Linked DNA regions of Arabidopsis thaliana. The protein of the gene in region 1 interacts with the protein of each later gene in a pairwise test. Each region holds a gene or a part of one and is shown in the gene's direction. Other genes may lie near its edges. The genes, in order: AT2G39725 and ZF3.

Region 1 (8,337 bases):
CCTCAATTATAAAATCATTTTCCTTTATATAATTTTGAATGTATAAAAAGTACTTCCAAAAAGTTGAAGATAGTCGTAACCTCACAGTAACACGTCAAACCGAGTCATGCTTGCCGTGTAGTATATTTAAGGTAAACGAATGTTGAATTATATATTGTAATTTTGCAGAGTTTGTCAAAGTTGGCGAAAGGTGGTGATGAAATCGACAAAAGATTTGTCAAATGTGTGCTGGATGCAACCCATTCCTAAGTCGTTCTCAATTCTCACCAACTCCTCCCTGTTGTGTTACCAAATAACTCCTTTTTCTTTCAACCAATTAAGCACCAACAAATTATTTTTGGTCTTAGGACAATGAGTCTCAGCCAATATAATTATAGAGTTACAGCTACAAGGTGACATTTTAGTGGTCAAAACTTCACTTAATCACAATTGATTTGAAGCTCTTGACAAAAAAACTCCAAACATGAAGGCAATGAATCATTAATAAAAAACTACTTAATTGAGTAAAAATTTGTAAATTAAGTTATCAATAGTCCATCATGTTGATAAAGGGGTAGTATAACACTCGTGAACCGGAATAAGATATCCCTAAATCAAAAGCATAGTTTGTATTAACAACCTTTGTCGAAAATTGAAAACGGCCTCGAGCATTTAATGTTGGGACTGTTTTTCTCAGGGTGATTGGATGTGATCATGGACCAAGCCAATCTCGAGAATGTTTCTTATCATCTTTGTGGATGCCACTGACTCACTAATATCGTCGCGCCACTTGCAACCCGGAGTAGACAAACGGGTATATGATTATAATGCTCCTACAATTTTACACTACATTTTGGTGTTATCACGTTCGTGGAAAAACCAACACCAAGGAAAACATAAAAACAAACTGAAGAAGTAAAGTCAATTCTGAATAAATGCGTTATTTGTATTTTTCGTATGTATATTTCTTTTTGGTGGCAAGGCCAGACCATTGTGTATGGGGACCCCAATCTTTCTGTTTGTAGTATTATGGTCTAATAAGATTGACGTGAAAAATCCAATATTTGATTATGAGTGTGAAAGTGATTGGAGCTAAATAATGAATTACGAGTCTATGTGAACTAGTTTGTCCCGTTTACATCACTTGGCTCATAGCCTGCTAGCTGATTAAAATTTGAGTATTCTTTGGTGGTATGTTAATAATGATATATAAGATGTTTGTGTTGCATATATATGGTTCTGAATTTCTTTGTGATACAACCTTGACCATAACATGAATTATGGAAATATGTATGGGTGAATTGGTGAAATAATCAAAAAGTAAAGTAACATTGGTGAATCAACATGTTTATTCCAAAACTGGTCAATGCCATAAAGTAGTGTTTGCCTTTATAACTTATTATTTGAAACTTTATAGATCAAACATCACAATTTGCGCATATTATTCATATAAAACAGTTGAAGTTATATCATGGAATATTAAAACAGCAAAAAGAAACCTATTCATTATATAATTGCATGAAAAAATAGAAGAATAGTGTAAGACTCTACTATTGTATTTTCTTGATATAATATGGGCCCTGTATATGGGTGCTAAACAGACCATAACATAGCGCTGGGCTTAGAGTCACATACACTAAGAATGTTATTTCAGACACAAGGCCTCTCTCAGCGAGAGTGAACAAGTGAGAAATGTGTTCAGTTCATGATTTTAGGAGGCTGAGTAAGGGTTTAAGTGGTTGGTGTTTTCTATCTACTAGCCTTATGTTAGCATTGGTGTTGAATGTTGATTTTCCACGTTGGATACGATCTGAACTTCCAACATGCGAGGTTGATGATACTCATGGGCACAAAACAAATTCTCTCTTTTCTGGTTTTTTTATTTAAAAAAAAAAAAAAAAGTTTGGCATTTCATTAGGAAAATCTGAATTTTGTCTTTAAGTAATCGATTTTCAAATCCCTAACTTTAATACTTAACTTCAGAAGGCTAAGCATTTGGGTTTAGGTCATTTTTTTCCTGCTATTGTTGATATTCAACGGCCCGAAAAATAGAAAACAAAATCAGTTTCAAATTCAATAATGTGATAGAGTAAGTGTACATTCACATAGGAGACATAAACGGGCATAAACAAATCTATTAATGGAAAATAATGGCTAAATTACAAAGACTGTCTCCAATAAACGACAGCATCATCAGATGCGTTGTATAAAAACTCTATTATTGCTTTACTTCACGTTTCCTGTGGTTATTGACCTCAAACTTAATTGGTCTCTTTATAAGATTCTTCTATATATAGCCTCTAGGTAAGTATCATTGGGTTGTGTCTGCAGTTCCAAGATTATAGCTGTACAAGTTTGGCAGCATAATTCTCTTTAGGCGTGGAAAATAAACCATCAACTTAAAAATTAATGAAAAACTTAGGTTTGAACACTAAAGATTTAGTCATCTAAGTATGTACTCACAGGTTAATATATATTAAAACCCATAGTATTGGTTAGTAACACCACATATGTATACTCTGAAATGAATTGCAGGAAATCTACTCCACAAAATAACTTTTCAAGTTTGTTGAAAAGTCATGTAATGATAATATCGTTTGGAAATCATTCGCTATTTTATGGTTAAGCTGCTTAACATTAGTATCACAATCCATAGACTCACGTAACGATTTCTACAAATAGAACAACTATGAATCTCCTTCAGAGTACATTCTTCAATTCATCTACACTCTCACTTATCTAGTCACAGACTCACAGTAACATATCCTCCTAAATTTGCCACTGAAGACACTATGTCACCTAATTTTGTATCAATTTACTCGCATAGATTCAAATTTTAGGAATGAATATAATCATTACACTGAAATAGACAAAAACTTAATAAGGAACATAGGAAAAATTTAAACAGAAGAAGAGTGTGTTCTTTCGTGTTTAGTTTTCACCTGAGAAGAGAGCTTGGTAATTCTAGTAATCACGCTAGCCAATTTCGTCTCCTTGACGAAGACGACGCCGTACTGAACATAGAGAACGACCTGGTTCTACGAGTAACCCGAATTCTGGACCCGGACCCGGATGATGCAGCAGCAGCAGCAGCAATGGATCCAGATGATCCACTAAAACATCCGAAAAGCCTCATGATCCGACCCGCAAAGCCACCACCTCTCTCTCTACTACCTCCACCATCTCTTCCACCTCTTCTCGAACCCCAAGCTACTCTTCTCGGAAGTCTCTCATCACCGAGTCTACCACCATCAACCTCCGTGTAAACCACCGGCATCATTCTATCTCCACCTCTCCAACCACCAGGGATTCTCCCTACAGCGAATCCTCCACCTGGTAACCTCCAAATCGTTAACCCCGCAGCTGAGTCTTCCTCTTCCTCTGCAGTAGCGGTAACAGCAGTCAAAGCAGCACCGGTTCCGTCGGTGAGATCCTCCGCCGGTAGCTCATGACGGCAAACCGGACAAGAGTTACGAATCGCAAGCCAAGGAAGAATACAATCAGGATGATAGATGTGATTACAAGGCATCTCGCGAGCAGATGATTTCAAAACGAAATTCTCTTTGCAAACAGCGCAATGAGATTGAGAATCCGATAAGAGATGAGTCGGATCGATTTCAATCAGAGGCAAAGCTTCAATGGCCGATTTAGAAGCCGGTGGATGTTCACAAGAACGAAGATTCCGATTGGTGTTAAGCTCGATCTGAGAAATCTGATCTAACAAACGATCAAATCCAGAACCTAACAAAAACTCAGTCATACTCGGTGGTAAAGGTCTAAGACCAGAATCAGTACCATCATCGTAATACATCTGAAAAGCAGATCGATCTAAACCTTCGGAAACAACATCAGAAGAAGGAGCAGCAGCAGATCCACGGAGAACAATAACTGGATTAGGAGATCGATTGCTTCGTGTACGAGTAACGATGGTAGGAGTGGGACTGTTATCGGCGTGCATAGAAGCGGATGGGGTGGAGGAAGAAGAAGAAGGAGGAGGGAAGCGAGTGGGGCTGCGATGTTGAGTGGTGGTGGTGGTGGTGAAGGAATCGGAAGGTGTGAAATCGAGAGGCTCTTGGATGAGTTCGAGGAAACCACCGTCGCAATCAGGGCAAGAGATTGAATCGGAAACCCAAACGAATCGGCTACAACTATAGCACCAGTAAGATCCAGAAGCCATGAGAATAGGGATCTGAAAGAGAGGAAAATGAAATCAAATCTTCAGGAAGAAGAAGATGATAAAAACATCTGGGAGGATTTGGGATTTGATATGATTGACTTTTAATTTGAGGATAAACGGAGGAGAAGAAGGAGGTGTTAACAAGAAGATTACAGAATTGGCTTATACCCAACCGTCCATTTCGTGTGCTGTCACCACCACCTCCTCCTCTTTTTTTTTTTTTCCTCCTTGTTGGTAATTTTAATTAAACGGTTTTTTTTTTTTTTTTGAAAATTGAAACTGTTTGTTACCCTGAAATAATAACTACCCATCACCCCCACTAATTCATATTTTTGATTATTTAGATTAGTGATTTTGATTGTAAAGTGGTAAAAAAAAAAAAGAGTCTTGACCAACAACAAAAAAGTCGGTAAGTAAAAGAGTAACAAATTGCTTAACATATTTGCAAAACTATAAATAACAATGTGTTTTTGATTAAATTACGTATTATTGGATAAAATAACAATAAACTAAAATATTGTTTGCTTAAAAGATTGGTCAACTAGTTAAAACTTAAAAGATTTAGGGTCATTTGGTTTATATTCTCTTAATGAAAGTATAGAAGAAAAAAAAAAGAAAAGCCCATTATAGTCAATAGATAAAGCCCATTTATATTGTAATAATGCAAAAGCGTAATGAAAAAGCCCAGTATAGCCCATTAACTATTGTAATTTCGCCTCGATTAAATTGTCCCAGAATAGTTAGTGAGAAGAATCCCAGAGTTTCTTCCATCTCTCGCTCTTTCGATTTTGGAGATATTTACAGGTACGCTTGCTTTTCCCTTCACAACATCTTCTTCTTCCTGCTCCTCTGTTTCAAATTCCGAAAATCAGGTATTTCTCTTAATCTGGAAAATGTTCTATTTGAGGAAATGAAATTATGCCACTTCTGCTAGTATTTTTTGTGTGATGAAACAGCCCTGGATCTCGTTGAATCAGATACTGTCACAATTTTGTTTACATATATATCTTCTTGAGCTATATTATCTGAGTTTGAGTAATAGACAATAGAATTTAAAATCCTTGTTAGTCACAATTCTGATTAGTATCGTTCGTTTTCTCTCTGAATCTGAGGCCAACATTGTCTGTTTTGCTTGAAGAACCCTGTTCTCTTGTAGACTCATTAACCGCTTTTGTTATAGCTGAATATTCTATTTCTAAGCTGCACTACATGATTCCTAATTTCTTTTGTCTACATGTTATCTTATTGATTGTTGTTCATCACTATGCTTAATTGTTTCTTATGTGCTTGAAAAATGCAGTAACATGACAATATTATTGATTAGCTTGTTTTGTTTGGTCTTTGTTTAAAGATAAAAAATGGGAGCTTCGAAACTTTCCGGGATGCAAAAGCAAGTCTTGAGTCTCTACAGAGGATTTCTAAGAGCAGCTCGTTCAAGACCAATAGAAGACAGGAAGAGAATAGAGATGATTGTGTCAACAGAGTTCCGCCACAACTCTAAGGAGGTCGACCGTAAGAATTTTCAGTACATCGAGTATTTGCTTCGGTTAGGTACTAAACAGCTTGATCAACTCAAAAGCCCTGCCATAGTTAGCCTCTCCTCGATCAAGGTCGTTACATCTAAAACCTGATACCTTATTTTATAGCTTGTTGCTCTAGTGACCATAGATAACAAAGCTGAGGAAATTGATTCGTTTTCCTCTTTTTACATTGAGTTATGTATGTATGATGATGGATGTTCAAGGTCCATTATAAAATAAAGAGAATTGTGATCACAATTGAATATATATATACACTTTCACACAATTATGTGCATCTGCTAATAGTCTAGAGATTGCAATCATTCAATATGAGAAGCAATGTATCAGATTTCATCTTTGTAAGAGTACCAGTCAATGGTGTAGTGCTCCGTTGCCAATGGTCTTGCTTTACATGTGAATGCGACACATTGTTTTTTTCCGGATTCAGTTTTGTCCTATAGTTCTGTTCTACTTAGTGCTATTTGGCCTCAGATTTTGTATACTTTATATGTCTAAGCATTTACCTAGTGTGCAACATTGGAATAAGAAGTGTAGTTTATGACAAGGCAATTTTAAATTACCAATGTGTTGTACATCATAAAAAAAAAAAAAGGGAACAAAAGAGGACAAGATCCAATCCACAATTACACAAAGGAGAAAAATAAACCAAAAGAGACAATAGGAGTAAAACAGCAAATTAATAAGCAGGATAATATTGCTCAAAAGTTGTAGACACAGGTTCCATCGTCACTTCTAGCCGTTGGATCAAAGTTTTCAGCCACAGGATCAGTACACCCTTCAGGAACTGGCAGGTTTACTTGCTGGGCTCCTTTTCCTGCAAGTCAAGTAAGTTTAACTTCAGAAAACCTAATTCCATTTTCTTCTCTTTCTCTTTTACATTTTCATACCCAGTGGCCAACTAAACCAAAAAACAAACGAGTTTCAAACCTCTGTTTTACCGTAGAAAGTTCCGCGGCCGATGGCGTCAGCGTTTGCGTCTCCCAAAGCAGCCTGGCTGAGGTAGGTCTCGGCAAGTTGGACTCTCTTGACATTCTCTTGTTCCATCACAAGCATGTTTCCGTATTCCATAAGCTTCTCATAAGTCATCTCGGGTTGCTCGAACACGGGAGGTCCTTCCCTTGAGTTAACCAGCCTCTTTCCGATCTTCTCAACTCCAAGGCTCTCAACGAACTTCCTCACTTCATCATCGTACACTCTCGCCCTCAAAGCACCGAAGAAATCTGTCCACACCAAAAACACATATCAGATTCTGCACGAGGTCCTATATAGAACATTTTCAGGGTAGTAAGAATCTTTCTTACCGATAGATTGACCAGGGAACTGATCAACAAGTGTGACAATGTCTTCGTCCTTGATCTTGTCAGTTCTGAAGATACCCTTGCAGACACCGATACGGTCTTCACGGGTCGGGGCCCAGTAGAACTTCTCCATACGTCCATCACGGATGAGAGGAGCGTATAGGGTGGAGAAATCGTTACCAGTGCAAATGATGGGGACACGTGCGTTCTCTTCCTTGTTGTACATTCCTGGGAGCTGGACGTTGGTTGGGTTATCAGCAATGTTCATGAGTGTTGCGTTAACCATCTGGTTGTTGACAGTGTACTGAGTAGTACCACCCATACGACCCGCACCAGCGTCAAGATCGTTGATGAAGAGACAACACATCTTTCCCTTCTTGATCAAGTCAGCTGCCTCACGGTACCTCTGACGGATAAGCTTTGCGGGTTCTCCTGCGTTTCCACTCTCAAGCTCTCCAGCACTCATCATGATTGGGCTGCAAAAAGATTCAAACTTTTTTAGATTCTTGTCGAAAGAGAGCTAAACAGAAACCGGGTCAAGATCGGAGATTTGGGAAATGGACTCACTTGATACCCATCTTGGCCATGACAAGCTCACACTGGAAGGATTTACCTTGACCTTTGCCTCCCCATATACCCAAAATAAGTGGAACCTATGAGACAAAAAAAACAGGCATTTAAAGATCAATAAAGTTGTGTAATAAGTCAAGATTGCACCAAAAAATACTCAAAAGAAAAACTTTAAATTATACCTTGATGTTAGGCAGAGTCAAGAAGTTCTTGGTGATGTGAACAACAAGCTTGTCCATGAAAGCAGGAGCAATGTAAAACCCATCCATCATGTTGTCCAAGTTGTACCTATATTTCAAGAAGTAAAGACAATTTTTAAAACCAAAGACTCCAAAATCTTTATGGAACTAATGAGAGATCTAGAGAGATGAGAACTTACTGCCTAAGGCCTTGGCTAACGTATTCGTATGAGCTAAGGACAGCGTGGTGAGTTCCGGTTCCCATAGGAGCTTGGAAGACAGAGTCAACCATACCCTTGCCTCTGGTGATGTCTTGTTGATCATCAGAAGTGTCGTAGGCAAGACCTCTCCATCTGTCTCCATCGGTTTGTTTGTCTTCTTTCACAGCCAACACCTTGAATGATCCGTTGCTCTTCTTGTTGCTCTGTGCGAATCTCGACACAGTTACAACTTTCTTTCCCAAGAAGGTTGAAGCTGGGGCTGATACAGCTCCTGATCCTGACCCGTTCAAGCTCAACTGCAACACACACACAAAAACAGTTCAATCACCAATCATGAATTCAAGTTTGGTTTATATGGTTCAAGAACCGGTT
Region 2 (8,100 bases), on another chromosome or scaffold:
GAAAACATCTAAGATAATATTGGATAAATGCATAAAACATTAGCACGTCCGATCCCCTTCGCAGAGACTGCGCATGCACTCACAAATATTCGTATTCATAAATTCTAACTCGCCTTTTAATTATGTATACAACGGTAATTATGTTAAAAACTAGCTTCCGAAATAAAATCTGAAAAGTACCTCTAATATTTATGAAATTAAATAAACACATCTAGTACGTACGATATTGAATTGATATCTAAATAAATATTGGTAGTCCTTAAAATAATATTTATGACTTTCAGGTACATCTTAAAAGAAGATTAAAATTAAAATGCTGTTAGTCCAAATTGTCTTTAGCATATAATAATTACAAAAAGAGTGTCAAGTTCATAGAACGCAATAGACAGAAAAATTGAACAACTCAAACAAAAAATAACCATAATCATGAATATAGAACGAGAAAAAAAACAAGTACTGTAAGTTATGTTATTCCAATGATTTTGTCTTAAATAAGCCGAGACAAAAGATTGTGATGTAGTCCCATATTCAGACCATTGTGAGCAAGAGGTGCATACATCCATAGATCTTCTGAACTCAAGAGCTACATTGCAAAATTTCCAAAAACGACAAAAGTGTTTGGTTAGGAAAAATGGTAAAACAGAGTTTAGGTAAGAGTTTTACATGGTTTCTTGCAGTACAAGAAACGATCAATACTCCAACAAGAAAAAAAGTCGTTACCTTGATTTGAAGCTGCAGGAACTTCACGTAATGGACAGCATCTTCCAGCATTGTGCTTATATCGACCTTTGTCCCATTAGGAACTAGGCTCTGCAATGTCTTTAGCCTATCGTTTATCCTTTCTCTTCGTTTCTGCAACATTCATCAACATTATTATTCCACAAAACCTAAAAACTCAAATCAACAATGAAAATATTTGTTTAGGTTATCTTGAATTACCCTAGCGTATAGGCTCTGAGGATCGGAAGCTATCCCTCTGTTGGCTTTCGCTTTGCGTTTTAGGCTTTTTGATGTATTAGACACTAAACCTAAAGCCTTTTCATCATCTGAACTATTATAACTGCTTAGGCTTTGACCATCTCTCCAAGCAGTCTTAGGCTCGGTAACCAAATTGCTTTCCGAGCTTAACTTTTGCTTCTTCCTTGGTTTCAACAGATCCTGCTTTGCATTACCGTTATGGGTTAATATTCGACAAATGTAAACATAGGAAACTTAACATTTTTTACTTAAACTTACTTGTCTTGAGTCGACATTTCGGTTCGTTTGGTGGTTGGAACCATCAAGAACGGCCGCATAGTTACTTTGCAGAATTGTACCAAATGGGAAGAAATCATCAGAAGAGAAAACATCAGTCTCATTTGGAGCATTGCAAAAGCTCGATTCGTTAGATGAACATTGATCAAAGTTGAACATCCCCAAAAGAGACTCCAATTCACCATCTACAAAAGCTTCATTCTCCATTTTTCTTTTCTTATGCGTTCGCCTTTACATTTATATATAGCAACGTTCAAGCTTATATTAGAGACATGAGGAGAATAACTTTGAGAAGGAATATAAATATTTGATGGCTGATTATAAAATCAGGGTTTTAAAATCTCATTGTATCTTGAACAAGTCTTAATGTTCTTAACCTACCATGCTCAACTACGATTAGTCAACTTGTGGGGTCGGTAAAAGCCAAGTTTAGACAGAGTCAAAGAGGTTATGCCACTCCATTGCATGACGAGTACATTAATGTTAGTATATTCTATATATATATAGAAGGATTCATGTTTTTCAATGAATGTTAAACATTTTAATGTACACACAATCACAAATAGAGTAAAGAAAGAATATATGGGGCGCCCCCAATGCACGTTATGTACAAAAATGTCCTGTGACAATGAACTTGTTTTGTTAGTTTTCTAACGTTTGGGAAAATAAATAGTCAATGAAATACTATAATCCAGATGTGAATAATTTCTCTTTTTCCGCAAAACATGGATGATCTTACGTTGGGGTTCGGAGTGTCGATCCATCCAATAAGAAAAAAATTCACGATTCGCTTAAACTAATTAAACTGTAGACATGTAGATATTATCGTTAATGTCCGAGTGTCGGATCACATAGCGAGTCCAAAAAAAGTGAATTCACAACCCAACATTTTTACTAACTAATTTTTTAAAAAAATATTCTAACTACAAATCGAATCTAATTAACCCAATAAGAATTGAATACGTAATTAAAGATGATGATAAACAATATAGACGAGCTACTTTTTAGTCTAAACAACAATTTACTCGTGACTAGAATATGTATCTGCATGCTAATGTGGTCGTTGTCTAATTAGCTTGATTCAAATTCCTATAATACATATTGTTAAAAGATAATGAACAAAGTAATAGTAGAAGACCAAAGGACGGCACGGAATAATTTGAGATTCCGACAAGATCAGATTCACACTCGTTTGCTTGTCTTAAGATCACCCTTACAGAGACAGATAAAATTTAATAAGTCAAAAGTCATTGTCCATAATAAAAACAAAGAAACACAGCTCGGAAATGTATTCTTGTCTCTAAGTTTGAGTTAAGGTACAATGCATTAATCTCACCGATTAGCTATTCATTGGTTGTTAGATCTATTTTTTCAACATCCCGTTACTAGATTAATTATAAAGTTTTTTCTTTCTAAAGATTACACACAAGTTTATACTAGATGTTGTTAAGCTATTGATGATTCAACCATGCATAATCTGTTACCGACGATTCTCCCATTGCAACATAACCCAAAAGGTCCCCCTTCCGCTTGTGAAAGGAAAAACTAAAGGTTTAGAGATATATGCACACATTATATTCGTGAAAGCACATGCATGACCCATATGTTTTTCAAGAGTTTACGAAGGTCATCGTTGCTCAGGCCACCAAACTTTGCTGGTATATCTGCTTCGGTAGCTTGTCTTAAACTCGTTAGTTGCAGCAAGCCTAAGAATCATTACACTTCATTAGGCTTTTCGTTTTTAGGCATCTAACATGATGTGTCTTTTAGATCTCGTAATGTGAGAAAAGAGAGAGAGATAGGTTACTCTTAGAGAATTAGGTTAATTAATTGTTGGAAATTATTTTTTAGTTAGCATAAAGACCTAATTATATAAGTAATTATACAATCTATATTATAACGTAAATAGCTAGTAAAAATGATACAACTTAGATTCTAACCTAAACGTGAAAAAAGCACCCATAATCCTAACTTTAAAAGAAAAGTCCCAAAACCTTATACTAAAGAGAAGACCATTAAACCAAAACTCTTATACCGTATCATGACACAAGTTGTTGAATCCAATTTAGTGTAACTTCAACTCTAGACATTCACGCATTTGAATTAAAACCAATAAAGAAAATTTCATGATTCTTGGTTGCAATGGGCTGTGGGAATTAAGTTATAAGCTCTTTGTTTCTTGTTGTCATGAGTTCTCTACCGAAACATCCAATCATCTTTTATATTCAAGGTTTCCTCATTATAATCTTAATCTACACACATTGCCTCCGTTTTCAAATGTTTGGACCAAGTAATGAATGCTATTGGGTTTGTTCAGAAATTCCCAAAGGTACAACAAACCTACACTTAAATAAATAACTACATATATAAGCAAAGTGTTAAAACATAAATGAAAAGCTAGATGAATATTAATTGTAAAATACGGCCTAAGTTTAGAGACAAGGTTTTTATTAGTTTTAAAGAATCAATCATTATTGTGTGTAGTTGGATTCAAATGTCAACTCTCAACTAGTCAGAAGAAGAGTATATAGCCCGACTTGTGTAACATTTCTCTCCCCCACAAAACGTGCCAAAATTAATATATTCCACTCTCACCAAATGTTGAAATAATATTTTAATTATACATTCACTTTCGTTACAACTTACAACAAACAACTTGCTCAGCACATATTTCGTTTCAACTAAATACTTAAAATAATTAGAATGGCCAATTTGGCCACCCACTCTCACTCTTCTTTCTCACGCAACTTCCTCTCTTCTCAAGATTCTTCTCCATACTTCACCTTCTTCTATATATCTCTCTGCTCTCAAATTAGGTTTTAAATTTTCTATAGCAATGGCGCTTGAAGCTCTTAATTCACCAAGATTGGTCGAGGATCCCTTAAGATTCAATGGCGTTGAGCAGTGGACCAAATGTAAGAAACGATCCAAACGTTCGAGATCTGATCTTCATCATAACCACCGTCTCACTGAGGAAGAGTATCTAGCTTTCTGTCTCATGCTTCTTGCTCGGGATGGCGGCGATCTTGACTCTGTGACGGTTGCGGAGAAGCCGAGTTATAAGTGTGGCGTTTGTTACAAGACGTTTTCGTCTTACCAAGCTCTCGGCGGTCATAAAGCGAGCCACCGGAGCTTATACGGTGGTGGAGAGAATGATAAATCGACACCATCCACCGCCGTGAAATCTCACGTTTGTTCGGTTTGCGGGAAATCTTTCGCCACCGGTCAAGCTCTCGGCGGCCACAAGCGGTGCCACTACGATGGTGGCGTTTCGAACTCGGAAGGTGTGGGGTCTACTAGCCACGTCAGCAGTAGTAGCCACCGTGGATTTGACCTTAATATTATACCGGTGCAGGGATTTTCGCCGGACGACGAAGTGATGAGTCCGATGGCGACTAAGAAGCCTCGCCTGAAGTAAGTCTTTGTTGAAGACCTGGAAGTTTATCAAATGTAAATATCAAATTTCAATTTCAAGGAACAGTTTTGTTGATTCTATTACCAATACACAATACGATTCAATTCCTTTGTTTCTGAAGTAACAGCATACTAAATTCATTAGAAAACCGAATCGAAAATATTTACAACTGACTTTTGTTTGGTTGTTAAACTATCAAGTGAATTTGGCCTCTCTATTTGAATTAGATGATCTCCTTACATTCTCATAACTCCAAAATTGCCGATAATGAGTAGCTTTCTTACTTACACTCTGTTTTGTTAACTTTGCCACCTTACTATTGTAGCTGTGTAACCTGTGTCCTCAAACTGCATTCTGTTACCTGCATAGTTTAGAGATTAATCCCCAACACTGTAGGTATAGTGCAGACAAATCTATAATGAATTTGAGATATTGTACCTGCAGAGCTGAGATTGTGTTTAGAAGGTCCCGGCACACGTCGAGCATCCCTTCGTCCTTGGCATTCACACGGCCAAGTTCTGCTGCCAAGCTACTTATTTTCCCAACCTGGGATATTGGCTTTCACTTTGAAGATACAATATGAATAAAACGCAATAGAAGATTGTGCCATAAACATTATCCGAGAGAAAAGAAGAGTCACCTTTGGCAGCAACAAGCATATGGAAGATGCCATTGCTTGCATAACATCAACTGCTGAACAAATGGCATCCTTAACACTTTGTACATTTACCTGCGATAACATGATCATCAGCAAGGATCACATGCTTTCCCAACACATAACTAAAAAATAATTTGAGTAGAATAGCCAAACCATTGCCCCGCAATCAACAGGTAGACAAAGGGTGCTGCCTTTCAAAGCTTCAGCAGCTCCTACCAAAGAACCCATATAATTCCGATCAATAACCAACCACTCTTCTAGATGTCCCATCTATACATAGGCATGAAAAACATTTAAGTTTCTGGCTAAGTAAAATTCAATTAGATGAAGCTTTTAGGAGGTCCCAATGCTGTAATAAGCAGAGCATACAAAGGAACCGAAATAGAGATATAAAAGAAAGAACAGAAAAGGGAAGAACAGAAGACTGAGAGTAACTTATATAGTGTTACTAAAAGAGCACAGGGGCTAAAGGCAGTTCAATAAATAACAAAAGCGGATTAACTTACCTGCATATTGAGGATAGATATCAGTTTCAAATTCTGCTTCAGGTGCTGCATTTCAATTCTTTTCATGCTGACAGAATTATACAGATTAGAGATACTTCTCCATGCATTGTACAGTCTTCTCTGCAATGAAAAATATAATCACTTGGACAGAGACAAGCCTGTACTAACATAAATAAATTCGAATTTTCAACACAACACAGATGTACGTACGAGATTGTTTTGACTGAAACTGACAGATTTCTACAACCAATAGCTGTTGTGCTATCAATAATCAAGATTCTAAAGCATTCAGGAAGAAAAGGTCTAACCTCCTCTCTCATCTTTTGTGAAGAGATAACAGCATTTGCTCGTGCATTAGCAAATTGCCATTGCAGCAACCTACTGTGTAATAGCCTTAACAAGTGAGCATCAGCAACCCCATTATCTCTGATCTTCTCTTTACCATCCACAGCAAAATGCGGAATCAAAGGCGTGTTTTTACTCAGTGAGCTTCTCACTCTTAGTGGACTCATTCTATCTGAAGGACTAACCCCTCTTGGAGGAACAACCTCTCTCGAAGGGCTTAAACCTCTAGCAATGCTAGTTCCTCTCGGACTTGACAAAGCTGCATTCATACCAAATTTACTAGGTGAAGCAGGTCGAATCTGCTCACTTTTTGGAAACAATTGGCTTCCTTTGGGGACAATACAGAACTATCCACAGATATCTTCCTCAGTCCATGTGAGCTAGGCTCTAACCGATCCTGCGAAACTCTCGCCTTAACCACATTGCCACGAGCTGGTAACATTTTCCCTCTTCCATTAGAGCTTCCAGAAGAAACACTCTCTGTCTCCAAATCAACACTCGTTATCCGCTCACGCGAAACCGGTCTATTACTAACCATGGAATCCTGCAGAGCTCTAGCTACACCATTGCCAGATCCGATCAATTTCTTCCTAGTATCAGTGAAATCTACACTTCTACTACTTAAACAACTAGGTTGCAGAGACCTAGGCCATTGATCAGAGAGTTTCAATTTCTCTTGTTTACCTCCACCACTCTTAGATATTGTTGCCGAAGAAGTCGTCTTCCTCCTCTCTAATGTTCCTGGAGTAAACGAATCCGCCTGAAACGACGCGAACAAGCTTCTCCCAGAAGTCAACAACATCCTCTCCGCTTTAGAAACTTCTCGTCGATCTAAAGACTCACGACGTGGTGTTGATTGCGGCCGATTAGTAGCAACAGACGACGGAGTCACCGGTCGAGTAACGATCGGAGATTGACATCTCTTCGGTGATGATTGGTGGAAGAAAGAAGAAGTACCGCCAAGGTATCGTGATGCTACATCTCGTGTTTTTGGGCGGCGATTTGATGATTCCGATGGAAACGACGGTGGTTTGTTCTGTTTAACGTTTGCGTTGAAAGAAGGTGAAATTGTTGCAGCTGTCATCTCCGACATTGAGAAATCAACATTGCCTCGTTATTGAATGTGAGCAAGGAGAGATTGAATAGAGAAGATTTTTACGGATTTGAGAGATTCCCGGCGAGACTAGGGTTTTGATTTTAGTAGAAATGTGAGTGAATTTTGCAGTGTTAGTATAAATCTCCGGCGAACTTGAGAATAGAGTGGGGAAGGTGGGGAGATAATTACGTTTAAGTTTTGTGAGGGTATAACTGTCGTCTCTTTCCTTTATTAATTAATATGGCTTAACATGCGTAATTGTGTATGCGTATTATTTATTGAAATTTAAGAAATTATTTTATAAAAAAAACTCAAAACCAAACCTTAAAATATAAAGAGCAAATAAAGATTACAATTTTCTGTGCAAATATGCATATCCATTCCTGGTAATAACAAATATTATGAAATACTATAAATAGAAGACAAGTTTGCATTATTTATTTAAATAAAATAAGTTGAATAAGAGATATGAAATAAATAAATCATAAACAAACTCTTCTTTTATGATACAAGATTTTGAAAAGTTTCATTGTCACTTATGTCACTAATATGGATCCCACCTTCTGTTGTGATCTTTTGAGATTTTCCATGTAATTACGATATCTTTTCTTGTTTCTTGCAGTAAGTCTATGTTCTCTTTCTTTGGTCGTCTCATGATTGTAATGAGATAACATATGTGCAGCAAAACTTTGAGAAGTATTAAACACACCTTTACATTTAGAACATGTATATGGACCGTATTTTTCATATGGTAGACTATGCGTACGAACATCATATTGATCCTTATCATTTTTCTCATCTTCTTCAGAATCAATATAATAAATAG

The links.
Region 2: the proteins of AT2G39725 (region 1) and ZF3 interact in a two-hybrid assay, tested with the Arabidopsis thaliana proteins (one large-scale study listed by BioGRID).

Annotation. Positions count from the first base shown.
Region 1 is NC_003071.7:16,564,556-16,572,892, forward strand, and holds AT2G39725 (LYR family of Fe/S cluster biogenesis protein), read left to right. Parts: upstream 1-4,874; 5' UTR 4,875-4,960; exon of another isoform or gene 4,961-5,028; intron 5,029-5,507; 5' UTR 5,508-5,514; coding exon 5,515-5,787; 3' UTR 5,788-6,193; downstream 6,194-8,337. Other genes in the region: RHC2A (RING-H2 finger C2A), read right to left, coding at 2,951-4,156; RCA (rubisco activase), read right to left, coding at 6,396-6,511, 6,636-6,917, 6,999-7,471, 7,563-7,648, 7,748-7,853, 7,945-8,261.
Region 2 is NC_003076.8:17,327,622-17,335,721, reverse strand, and holds ZF3 (zinc-finger protein 3), read left to right. Parts: upstream 1-4,075; 5' UTR 4,076-4,090; coding exon 4,091-4,672; 3' UTR 4,673-4,777; downstream 4,778-8,100. Other genes in the region: AT5G43175 (basic helix-loop-helix (bHLH) DNA-binding superfamily protein), read right to left, coding at 488-583, 721-852, 940-1,158, 1,237-1,461; QWRF9 (QWRF motif protein (DUF566)), read right to left, coding at 4,986-5,030, 5,108-5,215, 5,310-5,399, 5,481-5,597, 5,834-5,953, 6,142-6,447; AT5G43155 (QWRF motif protein), read right to left, coding at 6,482-6,506, 6,571-7,262. UniProt on the Arabidopsis thaliana protein: Transcriptional repressor probably involved in abiotic stress responses. Binds DNA in a sequence-specific manner and can repress the transactivation activity of other transcription factors.